Linked DNA regions of Saccharomyces cerevisiae S288C. The protein of the gene in region 2 interacts with the protein of the main gene of each other region in a biochemical or structural test. Each region holds a gene or a part of one and is shown on either strand. Other genes may lie near its edges. The genes, in order: TUB1 and VIK1.

The links.
Region 1: the proteins of VIK1 (region 2) and TUB1 are reported together in a solved structure, tested with the Saccharomyces cerevisiae proteins (one study listed by BioGRID).

The regions. Positions count from the first base shown.
Region 1 is NC_001145.3:97,335-101,533, reverse strand, and holds TUB1 (alpha-tubulin TUB1), read left to right. Parts: upstream 1-2,133; coding exon 2,134-2,158; intron 2,159-2,274; coding exon 2,275-3,593; downstream 3,594-4,199. Other genes in the region: YML083C (uncharacterized protein), read left to right, coding at 484-1,740; ALO1 (D-arabinono-1,4-lactone oxidase), read left to right, coding at 4,163-4,199. UniProt on the Saccharomyces cerevisiae protein: Tubulin is the major constituent of microtubules, a cylinder consisting of laterally associated linear protofilaments composed of alpha- and beta-tubulin heterodimers.
Region 2 is NC_001148.4:70,396-75,158, forward strand, and holds VIK1 (Vik1p), read right to left. Parts: upstream 2,612-4,763; coding exon 668-2,611; downstream 1-667. Other genes in the region: HFI1 (Hfi1p), read left to right, coding at 1-556; YAH1 (adrenodoxin), read right to left, coding at 2,968-3,486; ATG41 (Atg41p), read right to left, coding at 3,914-4,324. UniProt on the Saccharomyces cerevisiae protein: Together with the minus end-directed microtubule motor KAR3, plays a role in microtubule organization. Recruits KAR3 to microtubules, and together they may stabilize the polymers. The KAR3-VIK1 heterodimer cross-links anti-parallel microtubules.

The DNA.
Region 1 (4,199 bases), on a different chromosome or scaffold from region 2:
TGACCTGTGCCTGCGTTATGCGAGAGCAAAAGGGCCCTTAACGAGCCGGCACCTAAACGAAAATTTCAAGGGTTTTTTTGGCGGTGCCTAATAAGGAACGCGCAGAACAATAGACCCTGCCGGTAAACGATGGCCTTGCAGTCGTATACTGTTAAAACTGTTGAGTGGGTGAATGGCAGGGCCTAACTGCTTGCCTAGGAGTACCGCAGGAACGGTACGAATCGAGTGGAGACAGCAAACCTTGACGTGTGCTTGCTTTTAAACGGGTCGGAGAATTTACTCTTGAGCATATACGTGTGGGCATATGCATACAAATATATAAATACATTCGGGTGTATACGTAAATATATAAATATATAAAGTAACATATGTATATAAAGACGAAAGATTGAACGCCATCGTGGAGAGGGTTTTCGTATGAAGGTGCCTTAAGTCTTGTGTAGAAGTAGTTCTTTAGTTAAGATAGAACCTGGTAAAGACTCAATGGACTATTTACATGTATATAACAACAACCAGGCGCACGTTCCCAGAACACCTCCAGGCAGGCAGTGCCTATCGCCCGTTCTGCCCCCAATCATATTGGCGTTAGATCAACAACATTCGCTGACATTTGGGTACTCCAGCCCCAGGTGCTTGCCAACACCCATATTGCCTTCTATGAGCACAAATACGCCCGTCCATTGGTCACAACAGGTTGTCACTATCCCTGTCGCTGTACGAAATCATGCCGCAATGATGCCTATTATCACACCTATGACCTCCCCAAGACCTCAGTTTGAAGCAACGGCTCCCTCACCCCCTTTGGCCCCGGTCGCCATAAAGCTGCCAGATTTGAAACTACCACCGTCGCCTGTGCCCAGCACAGTAGAGGACAGAGTTTCACATCCTATCCTGCCCAAAATTGTGATCGGGAATGGCGGCGGCCGTGATGTTGAGCGAGATAGTACCGAGGAATTAATTAGGAAGATTCCAAACTACATTGGTTGTGCAAAAACAAAGGCACAATTGAGCAAAGTTAGGTCTGGTAAACAACTAATTGCATGCGCACAGGAATATCACCATCCAGTAAACAAGGACGAGATCGAAAATATCAACAACATTCTAAACTTCAGGGACTTTATTTTCAAGCATCCAAAATCCTCCTTCGAGTTCCTATGTACCCTGTCGTTTGAGCAGTTCGTTAGAGTATATTCATTCATTAGTTTCATCTACAGGACAAAGAAAATCAATAAGAACAAGTACGAACTCGTTTGTGAGATGAATGTTCACGAGCAACTCAGCAATAAGCGTATACAAAGAACAAGGACTCCTGAAAAGTACAAAATACATTTGATCTGCGAGTCAAAACTCATACTGACCTTCAACCACTGTACGAAGACAGTAAAATTTGAGTCTATCAATGGCGGGCACTGCCATCCGATTTCAGCCAACCACATTATCAAGCCCTCCCTCTTCCTTACCCACTGCATTAATAAATGCTACCAGACCGTGTCAGACCCTACCGATTTGAAATTGGCATTGAGAGACGCCTTAGAAGCCCTTGATCATGAAAGGATAGGATTGTCTTTCTTAAAGAGGAGACATTTCAAGTGCTCACACCAAGCATCATCACTCTCGAATGCCAGCGCCACATTGAAGAAACAAGAAGATCATGACACATTTGGTGTACATACAGGAATAATTCATACGGCAAATTTCTTCATGTTTAATGCATCTAGCGATATATTCCAGAGGAACTAACATATATAAATATCTGTATCCTTCTTTAAGAAAACACAATTGCATACTTTTTCCATTATAACTGACTGTTTCAGATCCTGCAATAGAAAGTATTTTTTAAGTAATGAAATAGTGCTTCCATTGATAGTAAGTGAGTAATAAGACGATCGGAAACTATTAATATAAGTATAGTTTACATATATATATATATATATGTGCCAGACGATAATATCACCGTAGTTTCCGGCCGGGTTATGCCACGCGAAAACGCCTCGAGCCAAGGGAAAAACTAAACTACAAAACAAAACAAAACAAAACAAAAACATCTACTATATCGTTTTACCCAATTCAGTATATCCGTCTACAACAGTTCTCGCCACCCAAGATCTGTAAACTTACAACTGCAAACAAACAATGAGAGAAGTTATTAGTATTAATGGTATGTTCGATTTGCCCGTCCAGGCTAGATCTTTTTTTTGTTAGTTCATTTTGGCGTTTCATCTTTCATTACTAACTTCAACGCAAAATTTTTTTTTTTTTGATTTCTCTTTACAGTCGGTCAAGCTGGTTGTCAGATTGGTAATGCCTGTTGGGAATTATATTCCCTTGAGCACGGTATTAAGCCGGATGGACATCTAGAAGATGGCCTTTCAAAGCCGAAGGGAGGAGAAGAGGGTTTCTCCACGTTTTTCCATGAAACCGGCTACGGTAAGTTCGTTCCAAGGGCTATTTACGTGGATTTAGAGCCCAACGTTATTGACGAAGTCCGTAACGGTCCTTACAAGGACTTGTTCCATCCAGAACAGTTGATCAGTGGTAAGGAGGACGCGGCTAATAATTATGCAAGAGGCCATTACACCGTTGGTAGAGAAATTTTGGGCGATGTTCTGGATAGGATTAGAAAACTGGCAGACCAATGTGATGGGTTACAAGGGTTCTTGTTTACCCATTCTCTTGGTGGTGGTACTGGTTCCGGTCTAGGGTCCTTACTGTTGGAAGAACTATCCGCTGAATACGGTAAGAAATCCAAGCTGGAATTTGCCGTATACCCTGCTCCACAAGTGTCTACTTCTGTGGTTGAGCCTTACAACACAGTTTTAACTACACATACTACATTGGAACATGCAGATTGTACTTTCATGGTCGATAATGAGGCTATTTACGACATGTGCAAAAGAAACTTGGATATCCCAAGACCAAGCTTTGCAAACTTAAACAACCTAATTGCTCAAGTGGTATCATCTGTTACAGCATCATTGAGATTCGACGGTTCATTAAATGTAGATTTGAACGAATTTCAAACCAATTTGGTTCCATATCCAAGAATTCATTTCCCCTTAGTTTCATATTCTCCAGTCTTATCCAAATCAAAGGCATTCCATGAGTCCAACTCTGTGTCAGAAATTACAAACGCTTGTTTTGAACCTGGTAACCAGATGGTCAAGTGTGATCCAAGAGATGGTAAATACATGGCTACTTGTCTGTTATACAGGGGTGATGTGGTAACAAGAGATGTTCAAAGAGCTGTCGAGCAGGTGAAAAACAAGAAGACCGTCCAATTGGTTGATTGGTGTCCAACTGGTTTCAAGATCGGTATTTGCTACGAACCTCCAACTGCCACACCAAACTCACAATTGGCCACTGTGGATAGGGCCGTCTGTATGTTGTCAAATACCACATCCATTGCTGAGGCTTGGAAGAGAATCGATAGAAAATTCGATTTAATGTATGCCAAACGTGCTTTCGTCCACTGGTATGTCGGTGAAGGTATGGAAGAAGGTGAATTCACCGAAGCTAGAGAAGATTTGGCTGCTTTAGAAAGAGATTACATCGAAGTGGGTGCCGACTCATACGCTGAGGAAGAGGAATTTTAAGGTTCACTCTCGCCCCCAACCTCCTTATCCTTTCTATATTTCAAGTATATTGTAAAAAAAAAAATTCCCCCTACTGTTATATCTCTTTGGTGATATCTTATCTATAATCTACTTATTATATTTCTCTAATATCTATGTACAAAAAATAAAAAAAAAAACCATTCTCCTTCTCTAACCTGCATTTGATGAAAGCTTAGTAAGTCTCATCGTAGTTGATGGGCCAAAGACATTTGTACTTGTTTCATCAGATTCTTACATCACCCATTTCCATGATTATTTCACGGATTTCATTAGTAATTGCATTTTTGTATCCCTAGTTCCTTTTCTCCCGCCTTGCCGTCGAATTGAAAAAAAAAATGGAAATGAGGACATCTTCCATTGATATCCAGGACAAAGCAAGAGTAGAAGTAACTATTAGCAAGGAGAATTCCAAAAATAGTGAACTTCAAGGTAAGCAGATCTATAGTTTCAATATCTGATTTTCTGCTTTTCAAAACTTAAAATTCATTAGAAGGTAAAACAAGAACCCGTAAAATTAAAGTTACCGATATTATCAGGTTTTTCACCCCATGTCTACTATCCCATTTAGAAAGAACTATGTGTTCA
Region 2 (4,763 bases):
TCTAAAAAATATAATAGAGTTTACTATTGATACAGTTCGTTATAGAAGGAAGAAATATTCAGATTATTATGATTTGAATGAGAGTGGGCTTTATAAATCCGTATCAGAAATGGCTGCTGATAAACGCGATGCCAAAATTAAGCAGTTAGATGATGATAAAAATGAGGATGAATGTGCCGATGAAGCCAAAAGTATTAATAACGGCAATAACAGTAGCAAGGACGATATTGGCGACATATCAATGAGCAGCATTACAAAGGCTGGCGAAGCAGTTAATGAGGAGTTACATGAAAACAGAACGATATCATTAACGAATGAAGACATATATGATTCGTTATCTATATTTCCGAATTTGGTTGAACCTTCAGGTTCATACTATGCGTTAACTAATTTAGGGCTAGTTAACGATGATGAACTAGTAGATATGAAGAGCAATATTGACGACTTGCCGGACTTCTTAAATGAAAAGCCGACTTTCACGCCTTTGGATGAAAGAAACGTTGGTACAAGGCATGAATTAAATTGGTTAATTAAAGGAATCTTAACGGAAGATTGATGTATAAAAAGTGTGTGTATGCGGTATGTTGTAATTATATTGAAAGATTATAAACCTTATTTGTTTCATATCTAAATGGCTGTGTTAAGAAAGACGATAATGTGACCGAGCTTAAGTGAGCTTTTTCTTTCTTTTACAAAGTTGTGTTTGAACTTCTTCTGAAATCGTTAATAATTTATTGACATTTTTTGAATCGTTCAAGTTTAGCAAGAAAAAGGATTTAGTATCAGAAATTAGTTTTTTCAGAACAAGTGCAATAGGGGTCTCGCATGATTCCTTCTTAAAGATGCTTTTATCAAACTGTTCAATGGACTTCAGATTATTTAACTCGATAAAATAAAAGTCCACCGGTACGGGGTCATTGTTGCCATCGCTTTTTGAATCTCGAGGAAAAAACTGCACCTTGATTATACCCATCCCAGAATGAGGTAAATTTGGGTGTTCATCACAACTAAAATTTAAGGGCAAATCTTCGAGTCCATTTTCTATGATGACAAGTTTGGAATCCAAAGAAATTGAGTGTTTTTCAAATTTCAACTTTATGCTATCTTTATCATTGTGGGAATAATCCAAGAGCATGTCCTGAGAAAATTCGTCATCTGATAAAAATACAAACTGTAAGGTGATCACATATTGTTTTTGATATATTGTATCCTTTTCGGCCAAAAATTTTATTAGAGACTCTCTCAATGAGCCATGTGGAGTGGTGCTTAGAGATATTAAGTTGAAATTTTTTTTTTGGTTCAGGCACATATCATGGTAAACGCTATACTCTTGAGTGAAAAATTTATCTTCAGAAACTTTTAAATGCGGTATCACCCTATTAAATTTGTAAACATGTTCGCTTAGACCTTGGGTTATTACGCCATTTTCGTAATCAAATAAAAGGTTCTCAGGCAAATTTTGCTCCATCACGTAAGCGTAACAGCGCATCGTGCCTTTTTGTTCAATAATAGAGTTTTCAAGTCTCCTACTCCGCAGGAGTTCTTTTTCCACAGTGTTATAGGTATCATTATAAAATTTTTCCTGTTTAGAGGCCATTTCTTTCAAATTTTCCATTTGGTTTTGTAAATGTTCCAAATCTTGCGAGTTTTGTAAGGATTTGCTTATTAGTGGGTTGTTTGCCAATTCCAATTGTTTTATATTTTCATTTATTTCTGAGATGTTTTGTTCCGAATATTCAGCTTGTCTATCTATATCCATGATCTCCTTGTGTAACTTCTCACTTTCCGATTGTAGAGTGGCTATCTGATCAAGTAATTCACGATGTTTGTTTGTCAAATTTTCCATGGATTTTAACTTAGCTTCTTTGAATGCAATAAAATCCTTCCTCAATTGTGATTCGTGGTTTACTTGTCTTTCCAAGTTTTGCTTCTGTAAATTCGCCCAATTTATGTTGAGCTCTTGCAGCGTTTTCTTCAACTGAGATATTTCCTCTGTGATTTCGTGGTCAGGCTCGACATTTTCCATTATTTGCAGCTCATTTTCCCAAAAGATAAGCTTATTATTGTACAATTCTTGAGATTCCTGCCTTTTCAAGATCAGATTCTGGTCGAGTTCAGCCTGCAAGGTTGCCAAAGCGGATTTGTTCTTCTTAATTAAATCAGCGCGTTCACCGTCCTTGGAGTTCAGATTTTGCGTCAAATCTCTAACCTGTTTGAGATACTTTGCTTGTTTGGATTTTTTCTTATAAAGTTCAAACCTGGACTTATTGAGATCTCGAAACTTGATGGTTTTGATTTCTCTTTCGCACTCAATCAATTGAGTCCTGAGAGTATGTCTTTGGAACCTTATTTTGTCTTGGCGGTCTTTTAAGTCCTTAATTTTGCTCATGTTGATGTTTAATGATGCAGATCGAGATACAGATGGGAAGGAATCCTTTACGGGTGGAAGAGCCAATGAACTCTTCATAGACGAAGGTCTAGAGCCATTCATGGTGTTTGTCGTGTTTGTGATATCCATAAGGTTTCGAGATTTTGATGAGGACACATTATCGGGATTGTGAAAGATTCTATTCTTTGAAAGAAAAGCGTGTTTGTTTTGCTGTGACGCCATAAAGTACACTGGTCAGGAAATGGTGCTTTTGCGAGGAGAATGTGTGTGTATGTGTGTGTTGTTAGGGCATTTCATATTCTATATTCATTGTTTTTTTGTTTTTTTTGTTTTTTCAGTTCTTTGTTTACCTATTTTTTCTTTGCCGCAATTGCAAATATTATTAACTTAATTGCGATTATTGAGACTAAACAATAAAGACCTGGCAGTGGAGGCATGACAGAGGATATCGCGAAACGATTGTTTAAGAGTATATTATAAAGTTGACTTGTTTCCTTATAATTATAATTATAAATATATATATATAGATTATTCACAGGAGAAATTGGGGGCACAAATGAGGGGTAAAAATGCAGACATTAACTAAAATCGTTGTTATTAACGTTTCTTGTCATCTGGGGCAGAGCGACTCTAATCCCATCGATATCTTTTGACATCTTAATCTGGCACCCAAGCCTGCTTGTCTCTGTTAGCCCGTAAGCAAGATCGAGCATATCGTTTTCATCATCTTCAGGTTCCGGCAGGGCATCGTAGTAGTCTGGATCAACGATGACGTGACAGGTGGAGCAGGCACAAGAACCGCCGCATGCGCCCTCCATGTCCAGGTTGTGACCTTGAGCGATGTCCAGGATGGTTTCGCCCTCACAGACTTCGTACGTCTTCTGGGAGCCATCCTTCAGAATAAAAGTTATCTTCAGTTCTTCGCCTGGTTTCGGTTTTTTCAAATGGCCATGGTTTAAGAACGAAGACGTAGAGAAGGGCAGAAATCTTGTGGTTGTGGTGGTGCGTGTGAGCAGAGATGGAGAGGTGCGTAAAAGATGTGCTGCGATGTTCGATATTCTAGCTGTGTGTCCAGCCCGAGTAACAATTTTCAGCATTGGGGGCGGGTTGAGTATAGATACGAGAAGCGCCTATTTCGTATGAGGTTTTTTTTTTCTATTATTATGTATATTAGGCATATATATACATATATATATTTTGCATACATATTCATTTTTAAAAAAATGCAACTGCTACACGCTTTGAAAGATTCAATGAAAAGTTTTTCCGACGACCAGAATTGGCTAGCAAAAAAACGAAAATGTAATGGAGTCATGCAAACATGACTAATAGTAACAAAAAAAAAAGATATAGTAGAATTGAGTAAGTAAGTTCTATGTATATTGTTGTTATTTTCTCTAAAAAAAAAAAAAAACTATGTAAAATTAGGAATTAAGAATATGCTTGGAAGGAATGCCGATTTAAAATGTGTAGGATATGCGATGCAAGGGGTCGTGAGAACAAGTAGAGATGTGGTAAAATGCGTCATACCGATGACAACCACAGTCTGTAGTTCTGTTGTGCGACATTGGCAAAGGCATCGTTACTTGCAAAGGCAAACCCAGAGGCAGAGTTAGATTCCTTACTAGCAGCAGCAACTGCACTGGCGGCGTTGCCGTTAAATTCCATATCGAACATGCAATCGTCTTCAGTACTCGTTATTATGTTGCTGTCCGTCTTATCTTTAGTGTGCGTGCATTCTGACTCATCGACAATCGGGTACGATAGCGGAAAAGTTAGCAATTCTTGCTGGTAAGATTGAGAAAAGTCATCGGCATAAGTCGATCTGTCCGGGCTATGCGAGAGCATAGGGGGCTCGAAAGCAACGTTTGAAAACGAAAGAGGGAAGACCTCGTCTTCATAGCGCGAGATGGGGGAAGATTCCACAGAGGACATTGTAAATAATTGTAATTGTATATTATTGTGTGTAAGTTTGGTTGGTTTGGTGTAGCCAATTTAGTTTGGTTTTCTCAAGAATAAAACAAGTAAGAAAGAAAGAGAGTTGCTCCAGACCCTTTCCGAAATCAAGATGAGTCCTGTTCTTATATATACCTTTTTACGCAGAGCCGCTTCTTTATGCACCGTGGAGTAATTACCGAATTGCAAAACCACCCGGGTGTGGATGTGGATGCAAAATAACAGTGAAATGAGTAATAACAATGGTCATAAACATGTGGTGTGCAATGTGTCATCTTCGCGCGCGTGCTAAAAAAAACGAATAACGGTGGTGATCCCGCGGCTTTCCACACTGACGGGGTCACGTGTGTTTATTCTGTTTTCTTCTAACGGCTTCTGTAGATTTCCGGACGGTTCCACGCAGCGCCACAGCTTGGTT